3 linked regions of the Arabidopsis thaliana genome follow. The protein of the gene in region 3 interacts with the protein of the main gene of each other region in a pairwise test. Each region holds a gene or a part of one and is shown on either strand. Other genes may lie near its edges.

Region 1 (10,604 bases), 5.9 Mb from region 3:
TATGGCTGCTCGAATGTCAGGGATCTCAAGCAAATTTTCTTAATCGGGATATCCCAGATGCAGGTGTAGAGACGGAAAAAAACGGTGACCCTGTGGTTTCTGTGAGGTTCTGGAAGCTTTGTGTTGATCCTCATTTACTACACGAAGCTTTCTTGTTAGAAAATTTTGACATATTTGAATGGTCAAAATCTAAACCATTGGAAGATTGGAGCGATATGTACAGAGAAGTAATCAGGAAGAATGAGCTCTATGTGCCATGCAATCAAGATGGTCGAAGTAGTAATGAGGTGGCTTCACTTGCAAACCACGCTTCAAATTCTTCACCAAAAGCTGCGGTAACTGCCAATGAAAACTCTGCGTTCCAGAACCCCAAAGAAATCCATAAGAGGACCGGGGAGCTTATAGAGGTACCTATTTTTCTTACATTGACGAACAAGTCACTGATATTGTTGAAACTTTCTTATCTTTTGAGATCGAGTATTCTAATCTTTATAACAGGCCCTTTGTATCAACGCCATTAACCATCGGCAAGCTGCATTAGCTAGCAACCGCAAGGTCAGTATATCGTCGTAATTTGCCTTTACCACTTGTTCTATCTTTAATTTCCTGTGAAATTCATAAGTTTTTGTAACTTGCCATATGCTACGCACCAAAACTTTAGATATGCAAAGATGAGTCTGCATCCTGGAAAACATCCATTAACCTTTTATCTGTATCCTGCATTCTTGCATCAGTATCTCGAGATAAAATTTTCAGATGATATTGCATGTCCCATATGAAGACCAAGTTTATGTCAATCTGTTGTTATTTTGTTGTTGCAGTGTTTTATTATGCTTAGTGGTAATGTGGCAGGAGACATAGACACATCCCTAAATGTGCATTCGTGACATGCAGGGTATAATTTTCTTTAACCTAGAAGATGGTGATTCTTCCCAAAATCAGTCAGACTATATCTGGTCAGATGCTGACTGGCCACATAATGGTTGGGCTAACTCTGAGTCAACTCCCGTTCCAACATGTGTTTCACTCGGTGTTGGTCTTGGGGATAAGAAAGGAGCACACCTTGGGTTAGGTGGGGCCACTGTTGGAGTTGTTTCTCTTTCCAAGCCTGGGAAAGCTGACAGAGTTCCTGGCTACTCTGGGTTAGGAGCGATAGCGGATCCAGGATCATTTTTTACCCAGGTCACACATAGCTAAAAAAAAAAAATTGATAAGCCAAATGTATATTTTCTCATAACATTAAATAAAATTCACGTAGATCCGCCGGTGGTTAGGAGTCTCTGGTCTAGGTTGGGAAACTCAAGAAGAATTTGAAGAGTTTGTTGATCCTCCCCCAACAGTTGAAAGTGTTATTACGAGAGCATTCTCTAATCACCCGACAATGCCCCTCTTCTTGGTTGGCTCAAGCAACACTCACATATACTTGTGGGAGGTTTGTGCCTAAACACTTGCACCATCTGTTTTAGGAGTTCGGAGTAAATGATATGACATTTCTTATCTATCCTTGTGGATCTTATAATGCAAACCTTGCATGTTACAGTTTGGAAACGAAAGAGCTACTGCAACTTATGGTGTTCTTCCTGCTGCAAATGTTTCCCCTCCTTATGCTTTGGCGTCGATATCAGCAGTGCAATTCGGTCCATTCGGACACAGATTTGCTAGCGCTGCACTGGATGGAACTGTATGCACTTGGCAATCAGAAGTTGGAGGAAGGAGCAATATTCATCCTGTTGAATCATCTCTTTGCTTCAATGGCCATGCATCGTACGTTTCATGATCCTTGAGTCTATAAGTTCTTGTTCACTAATATGCTAAAAACACATAAGTTTTAAATTATTGCTGTCAGTCATGAAAATTACCATTATTTCTCTGTTTCTTGTTCTATTGGCTTCAGCTATTCTGTTTCTGTTATTTATGGTTGCAGAGATGTAGGATATATTAGTTCGAGTGGATCCATTGTTGCAGCTTCAGGATATAGCTCAAGTGGTGCAAATGTCGTTGTGTGGGATACTCTAGCTCCCCCTTCAACCTCCCAGGCATCTATCAATTGCCATGAAGGTCCTCCAATAATTTTTTTTGTAGAAGTGTTAGTATCATTTCCCATAATCACAACTCTTAACAAGTTTTTTTTTTGTTTTGTCCCTTTTCTTCTATGAAGGTGGTGCACGCTCTATCTCGGTATTTGATAATGACATTGGTAGTGGTTCAATTTCTCCTATGATTGTGACTGGTGGCAAAAATGGTGATGTCGGTTTGCACGATTTCCGGTTTATTGCAACCGGAAAGATGAAGAAGCAAAGGAACCCTGACGGTGGATCTTCGACTGATGGAGATCAAAACAAGAATGGGATGCTTTGGTATATACCAAAGGCTCACTTAGGTGCACACCCTAAAGCCTATTTTCACCTTCATATTCCAATTTTACCGGAAAAATATCCTGAAATTTGATTGACATTGATGCAAATTTCAGGGAGTGTGACAAAAATAGCGACAATCCCACGCACAAGTCTTTTCTTGACGGGAAGCAAAGACGGAGAAGTAAAACTTTGGGATGCGAAAGCTGCAAAGTTGATTCATCATTGGCCTAAACTACACGAAAGACACACTTTTCTGCAGCCAAACTCGAGAGGCTACGGTGGAATCATCCGGGTTAGTGAACCAAATCACCTAAAGCATAATCCTTTCATCGTATTTTCTCACAGTGGCTTTGGTTTCTTAGTAAACCAGAATCAAAGTAATGTCGGTGTATGTAATCGAATTTGGGTATGTGTTACGAATTTGGTGTAGGCTGGGGTGACTGACATACAAGTTTGTCCGAATGGATTTATAACGTGTGGTGGTGATGGCACGGTGAAGTTCGTCAGCCTCGTAGATTCTTCCTATGGCGATGCTAAATAAAAAGAAGATACATTTTCCGGGAAAGTTTTGCAGTCGAGAAAACGAGTTATTGCTACCTTGCGTGTGTTTATTGAATACGTGATTTTTTGTGATGTAGTTTTTTTCTCTATATGGTTTAATATTTGTGTATATACAAATATATTAAAGATTATGAAGCAGTAGAATCTTGAGTTGACCATAATCCAGATTTTAATTTATCTTTGACTTGACTTCAATCTATACTCGGAAATATCATCTATTTATCTTTGACATAGTTTTCGTTGACTTTGTTGCATCAGATTTAGACCAGATTAAATCGGACTGATTCCAATTAGATTGGTGTTAAGTGTAGTGCAATAGAACCGAAAATAAACATTATCAAGATTTAGTTCGTTATTGTAATTTTTTTTCTTTCTTTTTGGTGTTGGTTTGGTATTAGCTCGATATAGTTTAATAAGATTATGAAAAATTGACGGCTAGGAACCTGGCCACTATCGTATTACGTAGTGGAATATTATCTTATGGTTGATTATTAAACTGCTCCATAATTTGTGTTGTAGTCTTGTAGACGAAATGATATGAATCATCAAAATGTTTGATTAAAACCCCATTTGCCAAGAATTATTCCTAAAACTATTAAGTTAAGGCAAAGGTCCATTTCATTAATAATTATTCTAAAGAAGTTAGTTGTATATATAGTATATATATAGACTATGGTGTTAATTATGACTGAATATATTAGTGCTCACATAAAGCATCTTATTAGAATATCTTAGATTGCTTAAATAATTATTAACCACGTAATAAATAAATCTCATGTAACACTATCAATTGGAGAATAATGGAGAGAGACAATTAACCATAATGACTTGAAGACACTTGGCTTCACCTAACATTCAATTTCCTAGACGAGGCCACTATTTACATTCTCTTTACCTAACTTTCAGAACTACATTAAACCAAATTGACATGTAAAAAACCTAATTTTATATTTTCAACATGTCTATTTACCATTGGCCACTTTATTACTTAAATGAAAACGATGTCATAAAAAATATTAGTAGACCCTAACTTGAAATTTAAAATTTAATCGATCATTTAAAAATCAAAATCATTCGACGCAATTACTACAAGATTTTTATGTTTTAACCAAACATTTATGACGTAATCTACCATCGCGCGTAATCGTATAGTGATAACTGATAAGATAAAAGGTCTTATCCGTTAAAAAAGGAAAGGGAAGCCTTTTTTAGATCTTCTTTTTTGTCGCCACGTGTAATTAATATCTAATCGAACGGCTGTCAGGTGAAATCTATGGGCAAATCTGTGGACTCAAATACTCATTAACATAACTATGGGTCCTCTCAGAAAACGGTGCCGTTTTGCGGAAGCTTGCGTGCTGAATGACACAGAGACTAAGAAAACGATAATAAACTGCAAAATGATTCAAAAGATTTTAATCGAAAGCAAACAAAAATTCTCTGACAATCAGAAAACAAAAAAAAATCAGAACAACTCTTATCTTCTTCACGAGACTGACTAAACAATCATAGATTTTTCCGTTTTTTGGGTTTCGTCTGGTGTTACTCTCTCCTTCTGGTTAGTTCTTTTTTTCCGAATTCTTACAAATTATTGCGGTTTCATTAAGATGAATTATGATTTGGATCACCATCCGTTGTTTTTGTGTCCGGTTTTGATTCTTAGGTCTAATCGCGTTTCATGTTTTTTTTTTGTGTTCTTCTGGGTTTGATAATTTTATAGTTGAAGTTTTATGAAATTTGATTTCAATTGCAAATAATGATGATTTGTTTAGTAAGTTGATAAATTGACAAAGAATCTGGCTTTGGTTTTTGTTTGCTTCTAAGAAAATTAGGAACTAATTCTTCAATTTACCTGGAAAGCAAAACATATCAGATTCTCTAAAAAGTAGTTTTGTAATAAGCTTTTTTGGTGATGGATCTGTCGGCAATCAGAAAGATTCTTCCTTTGAAATAAATGATTCATATTATTTTTCCTATAAATAGATTCAAAACGGTTAATAAGATTTTGCTAAATCTACCTAATTTCTAAATCACATTGATCTTGAATTGAATTCTCAGTCTCTTGTCTTATCTTTAGAGTTATGGTGAAATAATGGCAGCAGCTGAAGCAAGAGCAGTGTGGCAAAGAACAGTTAATCGTTGCTTTGTCCAAGAAGACGCTAAAAGAGCTCCCAAGTTAACTTATTGCCAATCATCTTCATCCTCAACTGCTTCTTCAACTAAGCAAGTGGAAGTTTCTGGTTCTTCTCCTCGAGTTTCTGTTGAACCACGGACTCAATCATCTTGTGCAGGTTTCATGCCTCTTCCTCGAAACCCGAATTTCCCTGATCTGTTACCCCACAACACCAGACTGTGGAGTCATCCTCATCATCAGTTTCAGGTGAATAAGAAGCAGCCATTGGAGGATGAGGTTAACAATCAAGGTGTATCTGAGAAGAAGTCTGAATTGGGAGCTGGAGAGAAACAAGGAAAGTCTTTTAATTCCGAAAGCTTTCAAGAGTTTATAGAGTTGATGGAGACAAGGGAGAGTTATGGTTCAACTGGGTATGATGAGTCCTCTGAGAAAAAGTTAAGTGAGCTCTCTTTTGATCCTAGCTCGCCGTGGAATCTTCTCTCGAGTGAGAAAGCTGCACCGTGGTGGCGAACTACGGATAAAGACGAGTTAGCTTCCTTGGTTGCACAAAGATCTCTAGACTATGTTGAGAATTGTGATTTACCAACACCGCAGAAGATGAAACGATCTTATTATGGTAGTCCACGTGGTTTTGATTCTGATGGATTGAGAGACTACTCTGTCTCTGGCCAAACCATCAAGGGTACAAGCAAAGGAAGCAGCTGCAAGAACAGACCCGAGGCTTCATCTGAGTCTGATTTAAGCAAATCCGAGCTTCTAGAAGCACTGAGGCGTTCGCAAACGCGGGCTAGGGAAGCGGAGAATATGGCTAAAGAAGCTTATGCAGAGAAAGAGCACTTGGTGAAGATATTGTTGAAGCAAGCCGCAGAGCTTTTTGGGTATAAGCAATGGTTACAACTGCTTCAGCTAGAAGCACTTTACCTCCAAATCAAGAACAAGGAGATTGACAATAAGAACAACGACGATCCAGGGGTTTCCATCCCTTGTTGGAGCAATGGCAAAGCAAGAAAAGAGGGGAGAAAGAGAAGAAGCAAAAGGGGTAAACCGAATGGAGCAAAGTACGCGGTTGGTTTAGCATTGGGGATGAGTCTTGTTGGTGCTGGTTTGCTTCTTGGATGGACTGTTGGATGGATGCAGATGCTATCGTTCTAGTTTAAAGAGAAGAAAAGAGACAAAACTTCATCTTTTTTCTCATTGAACAGCTTGATGATGTTGAAATGAGTTAAAAGATTGGCTTCGAATCAGCTTTTGGATTTCGTTAAGGAGAGAATGTAAATTGTTGTAAGAATTTTGTTAATATTGTGTTTACTAGTTTGATCTTTTCCTTCAAAAATCATATGAAATTATCTTCTTTAATGTGTAAGTAAGTATCTTTCATGTTCATGTAATATCTGCATATATTAACTACTGTACAGTGTATATGATCTTTCTTTCATGTTCCTAGAGCTTCGATTTCTTGAAAATTTAAAATACTTAGTAATTTTTTACTGCTGGAAGCAGAATGAGAAAGAGAAAGATATACAGTATATATATTTTTTAATTACGGCAAAGGTGATTATAATGGGCCGAATTGCGAACATTTGGGCCCAGTAACCCGACCCGACCGGAGATGATCTTTAATTTCGTTTCAGGTGAGAAAATGGTTTACTCAGGAGCAACTATCAATCGAATCAGACATTGACGAGGAGCTTTGGTCGTAATCCGAGGAAGAGATTAAAATCGGAAAGTGCGAAAATGCCGGTCATGGAGAAATTGAGGATGTTCGTGGCGCAGGAACCAGTTGTGGCTGCTTCTTGCTTAATCGGCGGTGTTGGTATGAACCCTAATCTCAATCTTAATTCCTCACCGATCGATCGCATTCTCTTTCTTAGAAAAGGATTTGCTTTGGGATTTATCTAGTTTCTGGAATTCCTCTTTGAATCTATAGAGCTAGTTTGCTCGATTGTAATTTGAGAATATAGAGAAATGCCTGATCCAAATCTCTCTATTCGGAATCGTCATTTCTTTGGGTTGTCAAAGAGAGTGTATTTTAAGGAGTTGAAATTAAGCTTAATTTGGAACCATGTCTTCCATTATCTCCATGTATAAGTAGCAAAAGATTATGTCTTTCTTGAACATTAGCAAAAGGCAATTGTGTTAATATACATTTGCTGATGGATTCTCTTCATCTTGTAGGACTATTTTTGCCTGCGGTTGTGAGGCCTATTCTAGACTCTCTCGAGGCTTCCAAACAAGTTAAAGCTCCTCCACTTACCGATGTATGTATTAGAATATATTTATCTCTGTGGAAATTCCTTTTGCTGCTAAAATCGTCATCTATTTCCTATCTAATGAAATGTCTCTGATGTGGGAACTCTGCATGATAGTTGTTCTTAGTATCCGTGTAGGCGAATGTTTGGACGTTTCTTTTTTTTGCTATGTGATGTAGCCTATACATCATCTCGATGTTTTGTTCCTCCTGCGTCTTCTTGTGATTTGAGAGTTCCATCTTTGGTTCATCCATGCCTTAAAAATCTATGCTTTTCATCATTGGACGAGTGTCATGATCACATTTTGTTACTGCCAAAAATGGATTGGGCATAAAAGAGACTAGTTAGTTATCACATTGCTTAGTTATCCAACGCTTTCCTATATACTCTTTACAGGCAAACAAAGGCGTCAAGTATTAACTCAGATCCAATTTGCTTTTGCAGGTGATTGCTGGTGTCACAGGGAAGAAACAGAGTTAAAACAAGCAATGACTTCCCCTGTTTTCTTACATTCAGATGATCCCTATTCCTTTTTTGTCTTTTACTCTCTCTATTCACAATGAATAAGCCAGACTCATTTGTTTGTTATGAAACTTAATATAAAGGCATGTGTGTACACTCACTTTTGTTCATCACTTGATCAGATGTATTCATTTCTTAACAACAAATGAAAAAAGCTTGAAACTTTTCTTGCCATGGCTCATGAGTCTTAACAACATTATATATGCATATCACACAGATATTAAATTACAGTAAAATTGCTAATCTTACATACACTCTTAATAGCTCTTTTTCATCATCTTGATCCCTCAATAGATAGATAGATAATGCATATTGAAAACAGGCTTAAACACTTCCACTTCTCATCTTCTTGTTCTTCCATGGCATTGCTAGCTTCAATCCCTTGCATAAACTTCCCTGCATTTCCCCAACCAAACCCGTTTCAGCGAAAGACAAGACTTGGGAAGATGAAGAAGTTATGAAGAAGGAGCGGAGAAACACAAATACTTTACCCAAAAGTGAGATCCTTTAACAGAACCACCACCATGGTAACTCCCTGATCTGTTAAACTTCATGATCTTCATGTTGTTCTCGTTGATATTATCTCCTGCTCTCTGATTCTCCGACAGAAAGACATAATTACCCCTCACAACAACATCCCCTCTCCCTTTCCTCCTCAAGAACCTCAAGAGCCCATGTTTCCTCTCGGGCAAGGGCATTTGCGTGAACTCACCAGGAAGGAGCAAACGAGGTGGCAAATCAAGACACTTGGGGTAAGAAAGAGGACGAAGAGGGTGCTTGGGCTTGCCTGGTTGGTCTTCCCAACAAAACGGAACAGAGGCAAGAGTGTGAATCGGAGAAGCAAACACACGTGGACTCGCAGGCGATGAAGTGTACAACAACGATCTTGACTTTGCAGCTAACACAAGTGCAAGCTTCGCCTTCTCTTCTTCCTTGTCTCCTCTCATTTTTATGTCTTCTCTGTTTCTTTCTTTCTTCTTCTTCAGCTTAGTCTTAGGCAGTTTCTTTTTAGGTAGTGGGAGAGTGAAGAAAAAAAAGACAATGCATTAAATATATCTCAAATCATTTGTGATTATTAATGATCCAACGGTGGTTTTTTACTGTTGACTAGATAGACAACCATTCATAAAAGTCAATACTCTTTTGTTATTAGAGGAAATTTGACTGACCACGTCACCAAATAATAGAATCATTCACCAACTAAACTGTTATTATTTGTTCTTACTATTCAAAGAATACATTGTCACTAAAGTTCAAACAGTGTTATTCTATAAGGGATGGTATTTTTACATTTTAAAGCTTCACTATTTACTATAGAGGTGAAAATAAATAAATATCACCCAACTGCTCAAGAGGTAATGTAATAGTAGTACAAGCAGAAGCAACACGTGACATAGCCACGCGCACCTAAACCACGTGAGGCACGTGAACTTAAAATGGCTGAAGGATTTTGCGCTTTGTAAACTTGAGAAAAGAGGCGCGTGAGAGACTGTTATTTGAACCATCTCTTTTTCTATTTGGTCTTCTTAACCATTTTTTTTTCTAATCAATGGTATGTATGTGATTAACATTAAATCATTTTGTATTCATGCAACTGATATACTCTACTACATTGAAGAAATTCTTGTGATCTCATCAAATTATACGAATTAAAATTAAGGAATTATGAAGCTGACGTGAAAATTATCTGCCGACAAATGACTTTATTATGATTAACGATTTTAAAGAAAGCTCAAAGTGGACCCAAAACCAAAATGTAGTTTGATCAGTAAAACATTCCCACCGACACCGAGCTTATGATTTCTTCTCAAGCTTAGTGTGTTCTCGCAAGTCTTAAGATTATAATGATGATTAATTTAGTTTAGGAAAAATTATTAAAATATGATGAAAGTGGTCTTAGGTGAGGGTTTTTGCAATAATAAAAAAGTCAAAATGTTCAATAAGACGTCCATAATAATAATCAAAAAAAGGGAGGTGGGTCTTTTGTTACGCGAAACACAAGATTAAGGGAGCAGGTTCTTTTGTGAGTTGTGACAAAACAAAATAAAAAGGGAGCAGGTTAACTCCATTTGTCTTCTTACATATTAATTATTCATTTAACAAGTATATTATCATACTAATATTATTTGATCAACTTTATTAAACATGTGTATTGCATTGACACTTTTTCTTTTATAGGTCTTTTATTGGGTTAATTAGTCAACTGACTATAAATAAGAAGGTTAGAAGAAATTTTATACAGTAAAAATGTTATGGCCTCAGTATTTGGGCCTACTACTACCATGTTAATCGTCGATCTTATTAGGCCCACACAAAATCTTAACATTAGAAAAATATGACCTTTTTTAAGTTATTGCTAACACATCATTCATTAGTCATGACGACGAAAGCCACGTCGGAAAAGCAAACACTTTACATAAACGACGTCGTTTGAAACCTAATACGATATACTCGTATATAATAACTGTATATTTTATAGTCTTTATGTTAAACAAGTAAATAACAAACCCACCTAACGCCAAAAAAAAAACCAAAAAAAAAAAAACCACCTAACTCTCGGACTTGGTGAGACTTGAGAGAGTCTCCAAGAAAGTAAGAAATCAACAACTTGATAGTTAAACGTGAACTGTCCTCTGATCTGATTCAAGATTTACGATCGTACCTTTATCACCCAACAACGACTTCGACCTCATTTTCTTGACCTCATCACTCGGATATATGAATAACTTCTTTGCCATTTTACAGAACTCACTGCAACATTCAAGAGAGTTTGTCAACAAA
Region 2 (11,441 bases), on a different chromosome or scaffold from region 3:
AGCTAGTTACCTCCACGATCTAGCTGATAAATACAACAACGGTGTGCTTTCTGATGAATTGATTCTGAAAATGAGTGATGAAGAGTTGATTGATAGGTTAACTTTGGTTAAAGGAATTGGAGTGTGGACTGTTCATATGTTTATGATCTTCTCGTTGCATAGACCTGATGTGTTGCCTGTGGGAGATCTTGGTGTGAGGAAAGGTGTGAAAGATCTTTATGGTTTGAAAAATCTTCCAGGTCCATTGCAAATGGAGCAGCTTTGTGAGAAATGGCGTCCTTATAGGTCTGTTGGTTCATGGTACATGTGGAGACTAATCGAGTCTCGTAAGACCAAATAGCACCTGCCTGGTAATAGTTTAACAATACCTCTCTTTTTAGGTTGATAGTAACTAGAATTGTTATGTTACATAGACAAACTTGATTCTTTATAGAATATTTCATGCTTGACTTGGAAATTTGAACAGTTACATGATTAGAAAGGATAGGAGTATAACATTTGTTTGACATTAAGTTCTCTGGATTGGTTTTTGTTTGGAATGCTTTCTAGAAGTAGAAATCTCCCAAATCTTAAAACAAGAATCATAAAGTATTTATCTTTTCTTGATGTATCTTGTTTATCTAGCAATAGTATCAATCCTAGTAAGTAACATGACGATACTTTATCACTGAAGCTTCTATATCTGGTAGTTATCGTTGAAGTGTGATTTGTTGCAATCAATCATTTCAGTAATCGGGCAGTTAATATGATCCTGTGACGAAGAAGCTTTTCCATGCCCATCACTTCCTTTCCAAGTTTCACTTGCTGGTAATCTGAGTTATTTTGTGTCTGTAAATTATGGAGCACGTAAGAAAAATCCTTCTTGTATTTTAACTGTATTCCACGGATTATATTTCTGTGACTGTTGTAAACATGTATCATGTATGGGGTTTCATTTGACTTGGATATTGAGAAGCATGGCTTATTTACCAAGTCTTTTGTTTCTGTCTTGTACTGGGCTTGGCCCAATGTCTCATCCGGCCCAATTGATCAAGTGGTAGATAGCTTGGATCTGATTTTGCCAAGACAGATGTGAAATCAACCCTTGCTTTCTTTTAACTTAAAATAGTTATAGGAAGAAATTACTCTTATTCAGAGAGACGAATTTAAAAGTCTAAGATGTCACGCGTAACATTCAAACCTCTTAATAAAAGTTTAGTATATGGCTAATCTATTCCCGTTGATTGATTTCAATATTTGGTAAGAAATGAAGATGATCATAAAAGTGCTACACAGCTGTGGGAAACAAAGAATCTGAAAAATGAGACATGAGGCATGTGGAGATAAATAAAAGTGCAGGTTTTGTTGTGCTTATGTGGACCAGCTTTTCATTCTTTCACACTTTTAATTCTTCAACCCTCCCCACCAGAAAAATAATTTATCATGTCTTCTCTTTCAAGACTATCATTAAACTCTGATTGTTAAAGCTTATTTCATTAAACAACTCTATTAGAAACCCTAATTCCATTTGTATGGGAAATTGAAGCTATAGTAGTTAACTTCTAACTCCATGCAAACCATAAATACCTCTCATAATGATAGTAAGAGTATTATTTTCTCATTGATTATCACAATAAATCTGATCAAAGAATTTGTGGAGATCGATAAATAAAGATACTCCTACTATTATTATGACAGCATAAAGGATTGACAAACATTGTTGTTCGAAGTTTTAATCTATTTTATGATATGTTAGAACTTAAAATCATAGTCCTAAAAATTTATAACTAACAATACATAAGACATAATTTTAACTTACATTAGAAAAAAGTTTTGAAAACTAACCCATTTAACTAATTTAAAATAATCCCATAACTTTCCTCTCATTTATCTCTCTCTCTCCACTCCTCAAGTCTGTACTTAGTAGGTAATAGTTTGACTAAGCTAGGTTTTTTTGCAGACATACATTAATTAGTAACACCATCAATAATCATCATAAAAGAAAATAGAGAGAAAGAGAGATAAATGCAATAATGGGAGATGGACCAAAGGTGCAGGTGGTGAAAGATAACAAACATATGACAATGTCTCGAAATTAAGAGGCACCACCACACATACACACACACTCTCTCTCTCTAGTAGGTTTGTGTTTTTAAAATCAATATTTTTGTTGGATTCTCATGTGAAATAAAACTTGATGGGTGATAGGAAACAAACACACATACGTCATCATCATCCTTAATTTCTATTTCTCCTTCTTCTTCATCATCAATATCAATCTCATCTTCCACTACTCCTCCCCTCTAACAATAAGCAGCATCTCTATAATCCCTAAGGTGAGTCCAAAAGTCGTCTATTAATTATTAAAGGAGAGATTTTTGCATGCATTATTGAATGATTTATAAGTATTAATATTTAACAAAGTTTTGTTGTTTTGGGTCAGATTCACAATGGAGCTTGGAGGAAAATGCAATGCAATTACAACCACAACAATGATCTCAACAGAAGTAAAGCCACATACGGATCCGGAACCAGAAGCCAAACCCGAATCAGATCCATCCATGGCTTTATTCCCGATCAAGAAAGAAAACCAAAAACCAAAGACACGTGTCGACCAAGGAGCTAAGTACCGGGAATGTCAGAAGAACCACGCGGCCTCAACCGGAGGACACGTGGTGGACGGATGCTGCGAGTTCATGGCCGGCGGAGAAGAAGGTACACTCGGTGCTTTAAAATGCGCCGCCTGTAACTGTCACCGGAGCTTCCACCGGAAAGAAGTGTACGGACACAGGAACAGTAAACAAGATCATCAGCTGATGATAACTCCGGCGTTTTACAGCAGTAACAGCTCGTACAAGCCACGTGTAATGCATCCAACGGGTGAGATTGGACGGAGGACTTCATCTTCAAGCGAGGATATGAAGAAGATTCTGAGTCATCGTAACCAAAACGTTGATGGGAAAAGTTTGATGATGATGATGATGAGGAAGAAGAAGAGAGTGAGGACAAAGATCAATGAAGAACAAAAGGAGAAGATGAAGGAATTTGCAGAGAGATTAGGGTGGAGGATGCAGAAGAAAGATGAAGAAGAGATTGATAAGTTTTGTAGGATGGTGAATCTGAGGAGACAAGTTTTTAAGGTTTGGATGCATAATAACAAGCAAGCAATGAAGAGAAACAATAGTAACATTAGTGAATAGTTTGATGATCTGATAAAAGTGAAATAAATTTTTACAATCCTGTTTTGCTTTTATATATAATTTTTGCCCTTCAAATTATTCAAAATCTTGAGTATAAATCTGTGGAATCTTGTATGTTTTGATTGTTTTATATTGTATCTGGGATTATTTTTTTCTTTTACTTAATTTGTGGTTGAACAAAGTGATAAAATTGGACCTTCAAATAAAGAGGGAAAAACGTGTGTAATTAATAATTTAATGCACAAGTATGGTTAGTACAATTAGCTGGAATAGCTCAGTTGGTTAGAGCGTGTGGCTGTTAACCACAAGGTCGGAGGTTCGACCCCTCCTTCTAGCGTTTTTTATCCTTCAAATGGCTGTTTTAAAATTCTGATTCATACTTTTTTTTTTCTGTCTGAATAGAAAGTTGATTTTGTTTGAAAAATCTGATTCATAATCATGTACATGCATGATAACAGTCTGATGTTAAACCATCGTAAGGAGCAGATTTAGCATTCTAGAATAGATCTATTCTGCTTACTTTTACCCCAAATTTAGATTTTTCCATGATTAATATATTGTTAGATATGGATCAGACAAAGAAGATTAGTCTAAACTCTAAAGCCATTGTCCATTTGATTTGTCTAAAAGATGTAGACGTAATAGTCAGCATAAACACACATTTGACCGGCGATTTAATAGGGACGAACAAGAAGATGTATACATCATGTGGGTGTAACACTAACACATGCTTTATTAATTACATATACAAAAATTTAATTTAGTTAGTTGGAGATCTCATACACACAACAATAATTAAAATAAAAGTCAAACAGATCTACTATTTTCCTTTTCATATCACAAAGCAAACTTGTCCTACTACTTAAATCAACACCATCACGAAGAAAGTTTCAAGAACTCACCTAAAACACAAACAAAGGAACTCCACTTTTTTTCCACACCACATCACACCATGTTTAGAGCCATGAGCACAAGGAAAATCCATGGTGGCTACGAAAAGCTCGGCGATGAAGAAGCGAGACTGAAGAGGGTCTCTAGCGTTCCGGCTAGTGTTTATGGTCATTCAAGAAACCCGGTTCAAGAAGTGAAGAAGACACCGACAGCGAAACCAACCGGTGGTTCTGTTCATCCTTTGTTTAGTTTCTTTGACGTTCATTTTCAAAGAAAGAAGAAGAATACGGCGAAGAAGAAGAGTTTAGCAACGGCGAAACCAGAGTTTGCTAGGTATATGGAGTATGTGAGAGAAGGAGGTGTGTGGGATCCGAGTTCTAACGCACCAGTGATTCATTACAGATAGATTCGTCAAGGAAAATGAATAAAAGATTTGTATATCGTCTTTTTTTTCCAAATATATAATCTATGAGAAAGCCAAACAATCCTTGATTCGATTCGAAAAGATGCATCAAACAATGTATTAGTCATTTTTGCACGAATTGATGAGTGTTTTGTACACTCTCATGGAGATTCCGTGAAGAATAAGATAAGTTCAAGGGTCTTGACTTTAATATATGATCAAAAAGTTGATTTTGGTTTTCTTATTTAAAAGGATATGTTATATGAACTGAATCAATTCGTAGTAGTTGCTAATATAGAAGCGGTCCCAGAGCTGATATCTTTGAATCATGTTCTATATTCTTCATTTCCCACCTTAGCTTTTATTTTAAGAATTCAAAATCAAGTGAGAACAAATTCAAAATAAAGTGAAGAAAAATTCAAAATTTCCAGTAACAGATGCATATTTGATTTTCCCTTTTCATCAAAAAATAAAGTTACGAATAAAATATTATTATATTAAGGAGAAAAAAATAGATATGATCATAGTCTCATATTTCTTGTGAAGACCAGTTTTTTTTTAAAACTATATTGTTAACCAAGTTTGAATACTCGCTCTTTATTAAAAGCGTGTTCACATGGGTCACGTAACACGTTTAAGAAAAACCTGGCTCTAAAAATATTATCAAAATCCCAGATTTGACGAAGACAAGAAAATAAAAAAAGACTTTTAAAATCGTTTTCAAAATGGGCTTTACAGATTCGTGAACAGACAAAAATTGGGCCATGGGTTAATTTGCTTTTTAGGCCACGTCACCGTTTTAGTGACGTTTCTGAATATTCGAGATGTGACCCCACTTAAACAAGATCCCTTGGACGACGTCGTTTCGACCACTTCACGAAACCCTACCGTCGATTTATTTACACAAAGTACCCCTTCATTGTATAGCGCCGTCCTTTGCTGTAACTCTTACCGTCAAAGGTTATATCCGTCTTTCCAAATGTCTCCCAAAGACACGTTTTAAAAAAATAAAAATAAAACGAAGAAAATCAGAAAATGGGTCGCCAAGAATAGAGGAAGAAGCAAAGAAGAAGAAAAAAAAAAAACAGAGCGTTTCAAATATTTGCGGAGATACAAAGCTGAGAAGAGATAAAAAAAGCCTTGGAGAAGAGGTTTTCTTCTTCTTCTTCTTCTTCTTCTTCTTCTTCCCTCCTCTCCTCTTAACGATGTCGTATCACGCTTCTTCTTATCTTCTCCGCCGTCGTCTTACTTCCGTATAACCTCGATCTCTCACCGTTGAATCTTCCTCAGCTTTCTTCCGTGGAGATCTCCTTCGCGCTCGAGGTAAATCCTTCTCTTACGCCTCCGGATTTGATGTTTTCACCTTTCTCTGTTTGTTGTTTCGGTGAAATTTCTGGAAATTTTCGTTATGGTAGGTCTGAATCTCGAGAGATTCGATTCATTTTCATCGGCTTGACCTATTGTTAGCTTCTAGATTATCAGATTTGTGATTTGATTTTGCTAGCTTCTTTTTTTCGTGCGAGAATTGAATCAAGTTTTGTTTAGGTATACCGATGATTGTGGTTTGAGCACGCGGTGTTTGCTTTGTACCTTCCCAATAGCTAATTCTCACTTATGCGAATGACCATTGTTGGTTGATTTCTGATTCGATTGAAATGAAGAAACGCTCTTTGTGGTTTCGGTTTTTTTTTATTACTAATTTGATACTTGAATGATTGCAGAGCCATGCCTACTTTTTCTGCTATTGCTTTGGATAGAATGCTAGAGCCAGGGGCTTCCACGTCTGTCGAGAGTGTTCCAAGCACAACTAATTTGTTTTATTCAAAGCCACCGATATCAAAACTGGAGAAAGGTAAAGGTAAATTACCTAATGAGAGGACAGTTACTCGTCCTCTGATGTCACCTGCTCTCTACGCCACACCTGATGCGATTCCGCTTCCTAATTCGCCATCGTCTTTCCCACCGTCGCCTTATATCATCAACCACAAATCACGTGGACCTCCACGTCTTCTTAAAAGCTCTTCTGAGGCTAATGTTGTGTCTTCTTCCCACCAGAAGACGCTGGAAGAGGAAACTATTACTGCTGAAACAGATGTAAAGGTTTCCCCTCGGAGGAGGTCCACTTCCTTCTCGTTTCCTATCACTGAGGTTACTGAAGATGATTATTCCAATGGAGTTCATGCTCGTACGGTTGGAAACTATAATTTTGATGGTATTGTTGATGGTCCTGTTGGAAATTGGAGTCCGCTTGATGGGAAAAGTGGGAATGGGAAGTCAGAGTTGGATAACGCTGCTAATGGTTTAGAACGGGTAAATGGTCTGTCTGAGCCAGTCCCTATTAAAACAGACAAGGAGAGTGAGTCAGAAGATTTCTATGACCCAGGTGAATCAGCAAGCTTCACAAGTAACACAGACGTAGAGGGTGATGCTGGGGACGAAAGTTCACAAAGACTTGCCACACCTGTGGGAGAGTTTTATGATGCTTGGGATGGTACTTATCTAAATCTTATTCTCTTACTAATCATTTCCTTATGAGATGGCTGTCAATGCTTATGATCTTAACGTTCCCAGGATAATATGATTAGTCACATTTTAGAGTCCCTTCTTTTTAACCTTTGAGCATTTGAGGGTATTCTTTCTTTAATATGCAGTAGTAGCGCCTTGTCATGCTTTGGAATTTTGTTTTCTTCTGGATATATTGAAATTTGAAAGTGATGAGTTATCTTTCCAAATCATGATGATTAATGCATTATTCATTTCCCTTGATGAGTATCTGCAAAGTATCCTGAAAGTTAAGCTTTAACTCGACTCTATGATTCGGAACTATTTAGTATTTTGTAATCCATCTAATTTCTTGGTTTTTCAGAACTATCAACCGACAGTGGAATGCAGAGTTCAGTTAATAACATCGAATCTGAATTAAGTGAGATAAGGCTGAGTTTACTAATGGAAATCGAGAAGAGAAAACAGACAGAGGAGGCTTTGGAGCAGATGCAAATTCACTGGCAGAGACTCCGTGAGCAGATGGCTCAGGTGGGTCTGTTCGTTCCTATTGATCCTACCGCCTCCACCAACAACATGAATCTATCAGAAGAACTACGCTGTCAACTCGAGATTGCGAGGTTTGTCTCTGACTCTTTAGGCAGAGGTATGGCAAAGGCCGAGGTAGAGATGGAGATGGAATCTATGCTCGAAACTAAGAACTTTGAAATCACACGGTTGTCTGACCGTCTACACTACTACGAGGCCGTGAACAGAGAGATGTCTCAACGAAACCAAGAAGCCATAGGTAGTAGAAAATCACTCTCATTCACCAAATTTATCCATTGTCATTTTCTATCGTATAATAAAAATCTAATCTCACAACTCTGTTGATACCAGAGGTGGCACGACGAGAGAGGCAGAAGAGAAAGAAGAGGCAGAGATGGATTTGGGGATCAATTGCAGCAACCATTACTCTAGGAAGCGCGGCATTGGCATGGTCTTACATTCCTGCAGCCAAACCATCATCTGAAGTATCTCTTAAGGATGAATGATTAAGTAAGTCTCTTGTATACGTAGTGGGTTTGATGCAAGCAAGAGAAATAAAGATACAGGACGTTTAGCGTACGCCTTGTGAATAGAAATATATACATATTTGGTTATTGTTTTAACTGTTCTCAAGAGGATGTATAGCTCCGAGTAGCTGCAAACACATTTTTCTTGCGGTGGCATACTGATGAGTGGCAGCCACAGTCACTAATATTTGGTTCGGTTTGGTTCTTATTAACATTCAATGTTAGCTCTAGTGTAAGGTGCTTGCCTTGCTTACATCTTAAAGAAACCTTATTTTTTAAAATCTTGATTTTAACAAACGGGCTCTGAATCCTTCATTTCGATATTTTGAAAAGAATTTGAGGGATAACAATTTTAAGCTTTATAAGTAAAGCTTGGTATTGCTTATCTCTCGTCTTTGAACCAGTTAAGTACAACGTACGCTGCGAAAGCTAGCGCAAATGTAGCTGCAAACAGAAATACAGATATTTGCACTAATAGAGATGCCTCGAAGGCTTCACGAAGAAGCGAATTCCACATTGTGTACCATAAGATGCAGAAAAGAGAACCAACAATGGCACCCACCACCACTTGACTGCTTGTGTGCAGTTTTTGAGAAACCCTTAACCGTATCTGTGATAGTGCAGAGAGTGTGAGATCAATGGCAACTAAATGATTTCATATATGAATGAAAAGCTTGAATCAATTAGGTGAAACTTGTTATAACAGACTTACAAAGTATGAACCCAATGCGAGGATTAAGCCGCTAAGAAACAAAGACACACCGTTGGTTCCAAGCCATTCCATAACTGCAGAAAACACGACTCGAGTGAATCCGTTGTAAACAGTTCCACGATAGCGAACGATGAGTAGTGAACAGCTTAAGCTGCTTACCGGATAAAACAGCAAAGACAGATATGAAAGAAATGGATTGAGCATGAGAAGATGGCATCCCGGGATCAGATCGCAATGTTGTAGTAGGCCTCTCTTGGTTAAGTATACGTTTAAGAACTACAGAGAGAGCAGAATTCGAAATCGATCCAATGACTGCCCACAAGGCTGCACCATCATGTCGCAAAAGAATGATTGAACCAAATAGAACAGACACAACCCATTTGCTCTGTCATCATTAATTAAAACCGGTCAGAAAGAAACACACATTGATACTGAAGAAACATTTCATCGAACACATTGCGTGCATGAATGAGATTTCCATTAACTAACCAGACGATTAACAATGGCTTCAATCCCACCGCCGGTGACCAAGTCTTTCCGTATCTCCGATGAGTTGTTGATGAAAGATTCTTGCTCCAACGCTCCAAATTGTTCGTTACCGTCATTGCTCCTGCTTCCGACTCTGCTAGAGAATCTTTTAACGGTCATAGATCCAAAGCTAGAGACAAACAAAGGAGACCCACGAGAGATAATCGAACTATAGCTCGAAAGTCTCGATCTTTTAAGGTACGAGGAAGAGTCAAAGTAGAAATTGCAGGTGGGACAGTGAAGAAGAAGAAGAAGAGAAGACGACGCTGCCATTTCCAAAAGGAAGATAAAAGTCAACGTAGTATCAAATCCATCGCTAAAGGAAGTAAAATTCGTAAGACGAAGAAGGGAAATATGCAAATCGAAGAAATCAATGTCTGGTTGAGAACAAGAACCTGAGAGAGAGCTTTCTTCTTCAAATCAATCTTCAAAGTTTTTTTGCTCGAAAACGAGTTTGTTATTTGTTGTTTACCTTGACGCATTTTATAATATCGTGACCACTCATATTCTTCCACGTGGCATGTAGAATAAACGGGTAAACCAATATTGAAGCAAATTAATGGGCTTTTGTTTCCTCAGCTGAGGCCCATATATTAATTAAAACCATTCTTAGTTTGATGTAGCATCAGGTGATCTGGAGTGGCTTCATGAGATATATGTCTATGGGCTTAGTTTTGTAGCTCTTTTCATTTAGCTTTTGTACAAATCCTCATTAGTTTGTGCCCAAAAAAAAAAAAAAAAAAAAAAGTACAAATCCTCATTAGTTTAAAAGGCATATGGTTGCCGAGAGGATTTTTTGTTTTGTTTTATGCTTCTCTTGTAAAATGTTGACATGAAAAGGTGAAGAAATATTTACCTGATGTTATAGAAAAGTTGGAATATTGTTGGAATATCACATATTTTTAAAAACTTATTTCATATTTTTTGTATCATTGTGTATATTACAATTAACACATTTGATTAGTTTGTTTAATTAATCTTTTTCATTAAAACATAATTAACGAAAATTATATTAATCTACATTATTAAAAAGAAAAAAAAGTTATCAAGAGGAACTTTTCGGTTTCTTTTCATGTTATTATTTCACAACAAATTTACATATTACCGCTAAGTTATAATGTTTCACGGTCTTTACGGATGAGTTATAATGTTTTACGGAGGAATTAAATATTGCTTCAATAATAGATCAACGGTGACAATGTCGTGTACACGTCGATTTATTCGGAAGAATATTTAAATGTTTCACTTTCAGCGTTTTAGAACAATGTTGCTTTATGTGGGCATACATATATAAATTAAATATGGAGGTCTAAATTCTTTGTTACCGTTTTGTGTAAAGAATCATATCAATTTTTTAAGCTAAACTAGATCTATCGGAGTTTTCTTTTTTTATATACAATTTGGGAGATCTATTAGAGTTATGTGTAAAATATTCATATTTATCCTCGATTGTGGCGATAAATACAGATATACGGTCGCAAGGTATGGAAACTACCGTGGTCACATCAAAGATTTGCATTAGCCAAGTTTTTTTTGGTTCTTTCTCGTAATTCCAAAAAATAAAAAATACTTTAGGACATGGAAAGAAAGAAAGAACGACAAAAAAAAAAAAAAAAACTTTAGAACATGGAAAGAAAGAAATTTAGTATACAATGGGCAGAGTGACGATTGACGCATACCATGGCATGGCTTATCATAGGAGATGAAAACTGTGTGTCGTTTTTGGAAGTAAAATATATTTAATCAAGAGCAAGATGCGTTCATCACACTGTCAAACTCAATCTTCCAAGTACAGTATTGGCAGACATTGATGATGACCTAAAGATTTTTTTTTCAGAAAATAGAAAGAATTAAGCTATCAATTTTAAAACCGATTACGATGTTTTTGCACCTTATTAAATGGGGAGTCGCCAATTATAGGAGCTACTAGTTTGCGTAGAAGTTTATCTCCACTCTATATAGAAGTCGAAACTTTTTTCAGGGGCGATGAAGTGTATGAATGATGCCGACATTTAAGAAGTAACATTTTTTACAGATTGTTTAGATTTGGTAAATATGATGTCTTTCTCAACTGAATGTCCAACATTTATAAGAAATTTATACATTATAAACATTTAAACTTTATACCACGGATAAAATCTTAGAATTGATGGATTTGTATTGATATTAAT
Region 3 (10,829 bases):
TCTCAGTTCATCTTCGCTATATGTATCAACTTATCGGAATCACTTCTATTATTAATGGAAAAACCGAATATCACATAATGAGAGGTTTTAATTTCTACATAAAACTATAAAAGCCATGGTTGTATAATCAAATAGGACTGTGGGAGTAATATAAGCAATTGAAAAGTATAGGGAAAATATAAGATTCTACAAGTGATAATGTCCTATTTTGTAAATAACGATCAAATAAATTCCAAACAGTTTTAGACCAAAAACCCTTTGGTCATCGTCACCAGAGATTAGATCTAAAACCCTATCAGAGACCATTTCGCGTGAACAAAGATGGCGGGGCCTTTGCTTCGATCTCTTTGGTCAAACACCACTCGAAGATCCTTCTCTTCTCATTCATCACCTTCCAAATTCGGATACTCGCTCTCCTCCTTACGCTCCTTTTCAGCAGCCACCGCTTCCACAGCTGCAGCCGGAGCTCCTAATAGCTCGCTTGACCCTAATCGACTAAGAAACGTGGCTGTGATAGCTCATGTCGATCACGGGAAGACAACACTTATGGACAGGCTTCTTCGTCAGTGTGGTGCTGATATCCCTCACGAGCGTGCTATGGATTCTATTAATCTTGAGCGTGAACGAGGGATCACTATTTCTTCAAAGGTATCGCCTTTCGTATGTTTGGATTGGAATTAGAGTTAATTGTTACTTCACAATTTTGAAAATGGTTCTGTTTGAAAATGATTCTGAGACTCTATCAAAGCATATTTATGTTCTGTTCTTTTTTTTTTCTCAGTTTGTTCTGTTATGTCTGTAACTTGATGTGTTCTTTTACCGATTCCCTGAGATTTTGTTATTTATCACCACGTTACACGACATTTAAAGTTTATGTCAAATTTTCCGACAGGTGACATCAATATTTTGGAAGGACAACGAACTTAACATGGTAGACACACCTGGTCACGCAGATTTTGGTGGTGAGGTATGATACTGATCTTACTTTTAGCGTATTATTTGATTCTCATGCTCGTTTTTAGTAGAAATGCATATTAGTGGACAAAAGATAAATTAATTAGAAGTTCTCAATACCTACTCATGGTCTGTTGACATTAGGATACTCCTTACTGTAGAACATAGGTGCTATCTTTGTGACTATTTTGTGTATTTGAATTATAGGTTGAACGAGTCGTTGGTATGGTTGAAGGAGCTATATTAGTTGTTGATGCTGGAGAAGGCCCTCTTGCACAGACTAAGTTTGTTCTTGCCAAAGCCTTGAAGTATGGACTACGCCCAATCCTTCTCTTAAACAAGGTAGATCGACCTTCAGGTATGCATTGCATTCACTCCCTTTCTTAGTAAAACTTGTTGGTCTTGTTTAATTTGTTTAGTTTCTCATCCTTTTTTTTCTTGCTTCGTTTATTTACAGTCACGGAAGAGAGGTGTGATGAAGTGGAGAGTTTGGTGTTTGATCTTTTTGCAAATTGTGGTGCTACAGGTGATTAATATATCAAAGTTTAATATATGTATTCTAATTAATTTTCAAATCATTACTAAATCAACATTTCTTCTTTCTCCATTACTTAGAGGAACAACTAGATTTTCCGGTGCTTTATGCCTCTGCAAAAGAAGGGTGGGCATCTTCTACCTATACCAAAGACCCTCCTGTAGATGCGAAGAATATGGCAGATTTGCTTGATGCCGTAGTAAGACATGTTCAGCCTCCAAAAGCAAACCTTGATGAGCCATTTCTGATGCTGGTAATATAAAACTCCAGCGAATGAAATTTGCTTGGCCAATTTCTTTCACTTTTCTGATTGTCCAATATCAAGTAGCTGATCTTTGCATTGTGCTCTTTAACTTTGGACGAGGTTAACTAACACAGTTCCCATTGATTTCTGTTTGGCATTCCACAGTAGACTTCAGAGAAAAATCGGTTGAACTTAGAATGTTTGTTAAGTAAGTAGACTTGTTGTTGTGAGTTTAGAAGCAACTATATCCGTCAGTAAATTTCAAGAAAGAACAAGTGATTTTGTCAAACTAATTTCCTCGGGAAAGGAAGACATTGGTTGGACACTTCATGAGATTATATTCAGTTTATGACCTTCGGCTTTCCTAGTTTGAACGTATTCATGTTATGTAGTGAATGTGCCAAGATTTGAATAGATTCATTTATACGTAACTATTATTTTAAGGGTATAAAATGTCTGAACTGCTAAAGCCCTAGCAATGATATTTAACTATCGTTCTCTCTTCTGATTTCCAGGTTTCAATGATGGAGAAGGACTTCTATCTCGGACGAATATTAACTGGAAGAGTAACTTCTGGAGTTGTCCGTGTTGGTGACAGAGTCAATGGACTACGCAAAACTGATTCTGGCTCTGAGAAAATAGAAGAAGCAAAGGTTTGTGTGCATATTGCTTTGTACTTGGTCAGCCGTGTTTACGAAGTGTGATGTTCTCATCTAAGCAGACATAAACATCTTTCATATAGGTTGTGAAGCTAATGAAAAAGAAAGGTACAACCATAGTTTCAATTGACGCTGCTGGGGCTGGTGATATTATCTGTATGGCTGGTTTGACAGCTCCATCAATAGGTCACACGGTGGCTAGTGCAGAGGTAATATCCGAATGGACTACTTCCCTGTTTTATTCTTAGATATATAATTGAATTCTGCTTTTAACATAACTTCTTCCATTGATCCCTATTTGAATATTAAGACGCTTGAATAAATGCTTCATTTTTATTGTCTTTCAGGTCACAACTGCACTCCCTACTGTTGAGTTAGATCCACCAACAATTTCTATGACGTTTGGTGTCAATGACTCTCCGTTGGCTGGTCAGGATGGCACCCACGTATGTTTAATTATAGTGACAAGATATAGCTCTAGTCATTACTCTGCATTAAACTTTTACATCCTCAGATTTACCTTCGGGTCACTGCATTTCTTTTTCATCTTAATTCACCTATATGTTGCTGGCATTAAAGTTAATGTGTCCCCCTTAGCGATATTTGAAGAAATATGTTGTGTTAGGTGGTAGACCACTCGTTCTGGCACATGTTGATAGGCCTTTGCTAATCTGCATGCAGTTAACTGGAGGAAGAATCGGGGACCGGTTAATGGCAGAAGCTGAAACAAATCTTGCCATAAACGTTATTCCAGGCTTGTCAGAGTCATATGAAGTCCAAGGGAGAGGAGAACTTCAACTTGGTTTGTTCTTTTCCAGTTTGTGTTTAGTGTTTGTTCACCTGTAAAGACGGATATAAAGTATGACACACGCCAGAAAACACGTAACTGTATTTATTTCTCTATGCCAGGTAAATTAATTTCTGTCGTGTCTAACAGGTATCTTGATTGAGAATATGAGGCGGGAAGGTTTTGAGCTCTCAGTCTCACCACCTAAAGTCATGTTAGTCACATCTCTTTGTTTACACTACATACTATATTCGTCGTATAATCAGAGTTAGTTGTTGAGGTTATTAGATGTTGGTAGTTGTAGAGGTTCTTAGTGGGCTTTTGAAGAAAAGGGTCTTACCAGTTTGTGTCATAAAGCAATAGAAGAATTCTTTTATTTTTTACCAAGTTACCTGATTTCTATGCTGTTACTATTACACTAAACATTACTTGGTTATTGTTTGTTCGACTATGGATTACTTTTTAGCCTAGAAAAACTCCTTTATAGTGTCTTTATTTCTACAAACTTTGTTGTACTTCTTCGTCTGACTTCTGAGCGTTTGTCCTTTATGTTCAGGTATAAAACTGAAAAGGGACAAAAGCTTGAACCAATTGAAGAGGTGACTATTGAGATTAATGATGAACACGTAGGATTAGTGATGGAAGCTCTCTCCCACAGGCGGGCGGAAGTTATTGACATGGGCCCTGTCCCTGGAAATGAGGGTAGGACGAGACTGTCACTAACTTGTCCTTCAAGGTTAGCTTACTATTTTTAATTACTTTTAGAAAATCTTGCTTGCTGCTCATTGAATCATTCCCCATGAAGAAATATAACCTACGTATACTTGTGTTCTGCAGAGGTCTGGTTGGGTACAGATGTGTGTTTAGCAGCGACACACGAGGAACTGGATTCATGCATCGTGCTTTCCTAAGTATGAAACTTTTCTACTTGCATTTACTGCAACTCCAGTCCGCTATTTATCCATCTATTTTCTCAATGTTTTCTTCTTTCATAAGCATCAATTCAGTTGACTTCTCTTCTAAAGGAATCATCTATGTAAATAATATTTCTTGCATATATCTGCTAAACACAAATTCAGCTTCAGATATCATTAGTTTTCTTGCAAGAGGATTCATCATAGATCCAAACATATCTGTCTGGTAGTTAGAAGCATCTTAGGTTTTACGTTTTATTACATTCTTCTTCAATTGATTGCTGTTTGTGTATCGCGTTCTTGCAGCTTATGAAAAGTACCGAGGTCCGCTTGGAAATGTTAGGAAAGGAGTATTGGTATGTCTATGGCTTGTTACTCTTATTTCAATAAGAGATTGCTTTCCCTTGACTTTTTTCCTTCATAAAAATTTGTATGTAGTCTCAAATTTTTATTTTTATTTATTTATCTTGATGAAACAGGTTTCCATGGCACGTGGTACTATCACAGCTCATTCTCTGATGAGTTTGGAAGCTCGTGGAATTCTCTTTGTGTCTCCGGGGCTGGATGTGAGAACCATCTAAATATGACATAGAAATATCTTTCTCGGTTTAGCTGTTCTTGATTGGAACAGGTGATGTGGTCTTTCTGCGTTTGATCCATGCTAATGCTGCACTTTCTTTTGTTTGTCTGTCTTTAACAGTCATATGATGGTATGATTATCGGTGAGCATTCACGAGAAACAGATCTTGATGTAAGTTTGTTCGACTTCTCCTCTTCATACTAAATTGTCGAAATGCCATGAGCTCACTTGCCCTTGCACTGCAGCTTAACCCAGTTAAGGCCAAAGAACTTACAAACATTCGCTCTGCTGGGAAAGACGAAAATGTGAAGCTATCTCCACCTCGTCTTGTATGTACCCTTTCCTCTTTTAACATGACATAAGAAAACTGTTTTCTTGATCAGAAAATTTTCTTGCCCTTTGTGGTTTAACTTTTGAATTCTTGTCTATTCAGATGACACTTGAGGAAGCTATAGGATACGTTGCCTCAGATGAGCTTATAGAGGTACATTGTTCATCACCAATTCCAAATCTAGCTAATCATATTATCCATGACGAACATTTTGTTTCCGGCTTCCTATGCATTTACTGTTCTTGGTTTAATGTTGTACTGTTATTGGTTTAATGTGGTCAGGTGACACCAAAGACGATTCGGTTGAGGAAAAGATGTCTAGACGTTAACAAGCGTAAATCCCAGAGCAAACGAGCCAAAGACTAAAAAGTTATCTTCCACACTTGACTCTCTGGTACAATTTTTATGGAAGCTGGTTTAGTTCTTGTCACAATCCTAGAAAAAGAAAATTATTGAATATGTACGAGAAACATTCAGATTATATACTAGATTCGTAACTTATACGCAAGAAGATGCATTCTTGTATTGATAACAATAAGAAGATAGATCGATCCCGATGCTGTATTATCATTGTGGACCACCGGATTTATCATCGTTATAAAGAAAGTTTTGTTGGTGGCCTTGGGGTCTATTTAACGACCCACATGACCCAAGTTATATTTTTAATTTATAACTGATTCCTTTTGTTCCAATCGTCGTTCTAATTTTATCTCATCAAAAGCATGTGTCTCCATTTATGTTAAATAACATGGTAGTAGAAACTTTAAAAAGTTAATAACTAATGTTCAGTTCGAGTATCATGAAAATATCCACCGCACAGTAGTCGCCAGTTTGGTTATGTCACTCCAGACCAAGCTTAAGCCACTCCAGACACAAGGACTTGAGGCCGCATTGTAAGGAAGTGTTGCAATCGTTGCATCATCTACTGGAAGAACCTCAAGAGGATCCTCTAAAGGCTTAGGACTAGGAGTAGGTTTTTGATTAGAAGAGGATGGGTTGTTAGGTTGAATAATGGGTGTATTATTCTCTAGAAAAAACTACAAACCAAAGTCTCAAACGTACGTAAGAAGTTAAACTAAAAGAAAAAAGACAAAACGTGTGTAAATATATCAAACTAAGATGAGCAAAGAAAGTAAAGGAAGGAAGCAGAGTCCAATCCAAACATTAGAGTTTGAAGCTGCACTATGTGGAGCTGGTGATGGTCCCATCTGATACTGTACTGGAGCATGATTAACCGGTGACTCAGCCAACGGAGACTGTGAAGGAGACGAAAAAGAGCTTGGTGGTCGGACGGGTCCAGGAACCGGAGCAGCGACAGGTCCCAATGAGGCTGGTAATACATGGATTTGAAGCTTTTGTCCCATGTCACAGTGACCAGGAAATCCGCATATGAAGTGTTGGAGTCCCGGTTTGGTTAGAATGACGATATCAGACCCGGTCTCGTATCTTGCTAGCGGTTTGGACGGTTCACACATCTCGTAATCATTGTGAGTGACTTCGGTGACGTCGTGGAAGTCTTTGTTGTATTTGAAGACCAAAGAGTCTCCAACTTGAAAAGTTATTGTAGATGCCCATGTCTCGTAGTTGACGCTCATAATCGTCCATCCGTCGGAGTCACCAACTTTGTGAACGGTTCCTCCAACGGAAATTCCAAAAAGTGCTACAAGAATAAGCAAAGAAGTAAAGAAGGCGTTGCTTTTGATCAAAGCCATGATCGATTGTTGTTTGAAACGAGAGAATTAAGCAGCAAAGAAAGAAGAAAACAACTATGTAAGAGATATTATAAAGTTTTGAGTTTGTGTTGGTGAGAAGTTGAGAGAGCACTACGTTGTTTATATAGACCCGAGGTCTCGTTTAAGGTAACCCTTTTCTCTTTAAGAATTTGACGATTTTATATGTTTTTCTAAATCAAAAATATATTATATTTTGATAATTCCTAGTGATAATTGTTAAGGTCATTTTTTCCCTTTTTGTTAAATATATCCAGAAATTTATTAATTCTTAAAGGTATTAATTTATTGAGAGATTATAATAATTTTGTAATTATTTTTAAAAAATTATCTCATAAGAAGTTTTTTTTTGTAATTAATATCTTTATAAAATTATATTACTTATTAAATTTTAAAAACACACAAACTTTCTCGATGTAATAAAATATTAGAAATGAACTATTTCGAAAATTAATACAAATTTAAGAAAAATATCATATTTAATTTTTACCAATTGTTTATTTCACCAATTGTTAGAGTCATATTTAGGGTCTAATTTATACTCCCTCCGTCCCATGAAGATGGATTTTTTAGAAATTTCACATTCTTTAAAAAATAATATATAATGACAATTTTAATCTCTTAATACTATTTAAAAATAATTATTACCATTTATTTAATTATTTAATAAGGGTAAAATAGGTAAACAGTTCTAAAAATTACATTGGAAATATAAAAAATTATTTTTGTGGGACAAATTTTTTTCCTAAAAAATTTATTTTTGTGGGACGGAAGGAGTATTCTTTAACACACATACAACGATTAGGATTTATATACAAAAGATATTATCTTCTTTTAATTAATTAATTAATTTATTTTTATTTATTTATTTATTTTTTAATTATTGTAAGTTAAGATTCCATTTTCGCATCTTTTTTTTTCCGAATTTCCTTTTTTGTAACATTTTCTCAAATTTTTAATGAAATGTTTGTTTTTTTGGTGGGAATATTTAATGAAAATATCACGAAGTCCAAAATTGCCACAAGCTGAGATTTTTATTTTATTTTGCATCATCATCATCAATATCATTCATCATCATCAGACATCAGGTGCGTCATAAGCTCCACAAAAAACTCATCCATGGCGATTCTTAGTTACATCTCAGCAACATCAACCACACCACCAATTCCTCAAGATCAATCTCCCAATTCTCGTCTACCAACCAAAATCATTCTACCCAATAAGAAACCTGAGAAATGGTCCACCGGAGTTGCTCCCGGAGAGTACGGTGGTCCTCCGACTACCACCAAGCTCCGAAAGTACTGGGGAGGTGAAAAAGAAGATCCCATTACTTCCACAGACTTAATCTGGAACAGAGATTTTATGGATCAAATGAAGAAATTGTTTGATGATCCTAATGATTCTTCTCTCGACCCATCTCCTTCAAAGGTTCAATCTTTATCCCCCCAAATTAGCTCAACTTTAAGGTTTCACTAAATCTCTTTAAGGTTTTGTGATTGCTTACAGGAAAAGTCTTCTGGGTTTCTGAGCTTTAGCAGAGTTATGAGTCTTGACAGGTTCATTCTCCTTTAAACTGATAAAAATTAGTTTTTTATTTCTTGCATTTTGATTAATGGTTGATTTGTTTGTTGTTGTTATCTGTGGAAAATTAGTATGGATGTTGATTTAAGTAAAGAGCTTGCATCGTCTTCTAAATCCGTTGTGAAAAATCGTCTTGACACCTCCAAGTCAGAAGCTAAAAAGCAAATGGTGAGAAGCCAATTTGACAAAGCCACATTGCTATTTCTTTATGTCTCTGAAGTTTACTCTTTTTTGTCAATATCATTAGAGTAAGGCTATTGTGTCTCCTAAATGGAAGCTGGCACCTACACGTCGTGAGCAAGAGAAATGGGATAGAGCAACGAAGGCTGCAACTGGTGGCAGTGTAAGTTTATCTTTGCAATTGATGGATCACTTGTGCTTTGATTTATTAATTCTATACCAATTGAAATGTCATTTTCATTGTAAACATTGATCAGAATTGGCAAAAATGGATCTTCTTGGTTCTTAATTCCTTCCTTCATTTCTAATGTGTGCTGCAGGATGTGATGTTTAGGGAGCTGAGACGGCCACGTGGTGACCCAGAAGTACAAGCTGCTAAAGACAGGGAACAATATTTTAAGGTACCTTCTTTGGTTAGCTAATCCTTTCATGGTATGACAAATATCATGTATTGCTATCTCATGAAAAGGCAGCTTGTATAAGCACTACTCTTTACCTTCATGGGCAACTCCGTTACTTTTGAAGCATTCAGTTCCTAGTCTCTTGACTTTTGGATTGTTTTCTGCAGCTGAAAAATAAGATTCAGGTTCTCACACTCGGTATTGGTGGTGTTGGTTTAGTCTCAGCTTATATCTCATACACCCCAGAGATAGCACTTAGGTTTGTCTTCTCATGCAATGAACATCAAAATCTCGTTAAGGACTTTTTAAATCAATCTTAATTTGTGTTGAATATTTTGTTACAGTTTTGGTGCTGGCTTGTTGGGTTCACTTGCATATATGAGGATGCTTGGTAACTCTGTAGATGCCATGGCAGATGGAGCCAGAGGAGTTGCCAAGTACTATATGTTTCTCTTCAAATTCTTATCAGTTATCTATGTTGAGACCACTCACTCACTCACTTATCTCTTTTGTTCTTTGGTCTTACTGAATTGATTTTATAGAGGTGCAGCTAACCAGCCACGGTTACTAGTCCCCGTTGTGTTGGTTATGATATTCAATAGATGGAACGCGTAAGCACCTCTCTCTCCGTTTTGCATTATATATCTTTCATCCAAAATCAACTTGGTTACATCAATCATATTTACTTGTGACTTCTTCATATATTGCAGAATACTTGTTCCTGAGTATGGATTCATGCATTTGGAGTTGATACCAATGTTGGTTGGGTTCTTTACTTACAAAATTGCTACGTTCTTTCAAGCTATAGAAGAAGCCATCTCCATTACTACTCAAAAACCCGAATCAATCTCTCCAGACACACAGGCCAGTGATTAATAAGGTCAAGGTCAGTGTTGTAAGAAATGTAATTAAACACAGAAGTGTTAATGTAATAAAAACTAATAACTCATAAACTCATTCATACCAGCAAATCACCAAGAGATAGATAGCTAGAACATATAAAGCAAATGCAGAAAGAGTGAAACATAGAAAGTTAATGACTTTGAAATTTTTAGACCAAACCGGGTCCAGTGTTGGTTTGAGTGTATTCTTCGTTGAGTTTGCCTTCGTAAACATAACCGAGCTTCTCACAACACTTCTTAATCTCTTTGACATCTTTCTCCGAGCAAGTATCATCGGAAACAACAACGGTCGTTTCGTTTTCTCCCGTTTCATATTTGGCAACTGCTTGATGATTCAGAACTGCAATCTTGACGACCTTGTCGTCTCCAAAAGTAGTGCAAGAAATTACTCTAGCTTCCATTTCTTTATTATTGTCTTTGGGTTTATTACTCTGCTTTTTGGATAGGAATAATAAAGAGTATAAGGGTGATGGATGGTTTATATAGAGAACAATCATGTGAATGATAATTAATGGTCAAATCACGAAACATGTATGCATGTAAAAAACTGTAAATGGACCACCAGATTTGGTTATTATTTGAACAATAAAGTTGAATCCCTGAAATTGCTTCATTTTACATGACTCAAGTTTTCCAGTTCTCTATCTTAGAAAGTGAATGCCACAACAACAGTATAGTGTTAAGGCACAATTTCCTATAGTTGTAGTAGATATATGTTTTACCTTAGGCAACCAGAAGAAAAAAAAAAAAAAGTGTTAAGAGTTTTATGGTAGATCGCAAGCAGAAGAAAATATAATATAATTTTTTTGTATCAACAATCATTTATTTGTTCTCATTAGTATATACATATGTATAGCTTAAAAATCAAGGTTATGGCTATGATACCAGATGGTGTAGATAACACATATATTTTTGTTTAGTCTAAGAATGTCCAAGAATCTATGTTATCTTATTCCGTTAAGAACTCTCAAGTTCTAGCCACAACAAGTATTTAAGAGTTGAAATGCTCTTTGATTTAATTAAATAATGCC

What was found.
Region 1: the proteins of AT2G31040 (region 3) and AT2G46550 interact in a two-hybrid assay, tested with the Arabidopsis thaliana proteins (one large-scale study listed by BioGRID).
Region 2: the proteins of AT2G31040 (region 3) and AT3G50910 interact in a two-hybrid assay, tested with the Arabidopsis thaliana proteins (one large-scale study listed by BioGRID).

Annotation. Positions count from the first base shown.
Region 1 is NC_003071.7:19,107,864-19,118,467, reverse strand, and holds AT2G46550 (uncharacterized protein), read left to right. Parts: upstream 1-4,261; 5' UTR 4,262-4,476; intron 4,477-4,995; 5' UTR 4,996-5,010; coding exon 5,011-6,204; 3' UTR 6,205-6,507; downstream 6,508-10,604. Other genes in the region: AT2G46560 (transducin family protein / WD-40 repeat family protein), read left to right, coding at 1-407, 499-555, 895-1,182, 1,259-1,432, 1,541-1,764, 1,925-2,058, 2,159-2,380, 2,471-2,649 and 1 more; AT2G46540 (fiber), read left to right, coding at 6,787-6,865, 7,228-7,310, 7,746-7,781; AT2G46535 (uncharacterized protein), read right to left, coding at 8,148-8,219, 8,315-8,770; ARF11 (auxin response factor 11), read right to left, coding at 10,439-10,574.
Region 2 is NC_003074.8:18,913,991-18,925,431, forward strand, and holds AT3G50910 (netrin receptor DCC), read left to right. Parts: upstream 1-5,336; 5' UTR 5,337-5,796; intron 5,797-6,194; 5' UTR 6,195-6,198; coding exon 6,199-6,964; intron 6,965-7,339; coding exon 7,340-7,762; intron 7,763-7,854; coding exon 7,855-8,009; 3' UTR 8,010-8,311; downstream 8,312-11,441. Other genes in the region: AT3G50880 (DNA glycosylase superfamily protein), read left to right, coding at 1-340; HB28 (homeobox protein 28), read left to right, coding at 2,430-3,179; AT3G50900 (uncharacterized protein), read left to right, coding at 4,132-4,476; LPPepsilon1 (Phosphatidic acid phosphatase (PAP2) family protein), read right to left, coding at 8,413-8,640, 8,743-8,816, 8,902-9,127, 9,232-9,543.
Region 3 is NC_003071.7:13,208,037-13,218,865, reverse strand, and holds AT2G31040 (ATP synthase protein I-like protein), read left to right. Parts: upstream 1-7,677; 5' UTR 7,678-7,853; coding exon 7,854-8,162; intron 8,163-8,240; coding exon 8,241-8,290; intron 8,291-8,386; coding exon 8,387-8,483; intron 8,484-8,562; coding exon 8,563-8,658; intron 8,659-8,815; coding exon 8,816-8,896; intron 8,897-9,063; coding exon 9,064-9,155; intron 9,156-9,240; coding exon 9,241-9,333; intron 9,334-9,438; coding exon 9,439-9,507; intron 9,508-9,606; coding exon 9,607-9,772; 3' UTR 9,773-9,947; coding exon of another isoform or gene 9,948-10,199; 3' UTR 10,200-10,242; downstream 10,243-10,829. Other genes in the region: EMB2785 (elongation factor family protein), read left to right, coding at 322-660, 893-967, 1,162-1,312, 1,412-1,480, 1,570-1,742, 2,249-2,386, 2,476-2,601, 2,740-2,838 and 10 more; AT2G31050 (Cupredoxin superfamily protein), read right to left, coding at 6,114-6,716; AT2G31035 (oxysterol-binding-like protein), read right to left, coding at 9,948-10,199. UniProt on the Arabidopsis thaliana protein: Facilitates the assembly of the membrane proton channel of the chloroplastic F-type ATPase. Specifically required for the efficient assembly and integration of the CF(0) subunit c into the chloroplastic ATPase complex in the thylakoid membrane.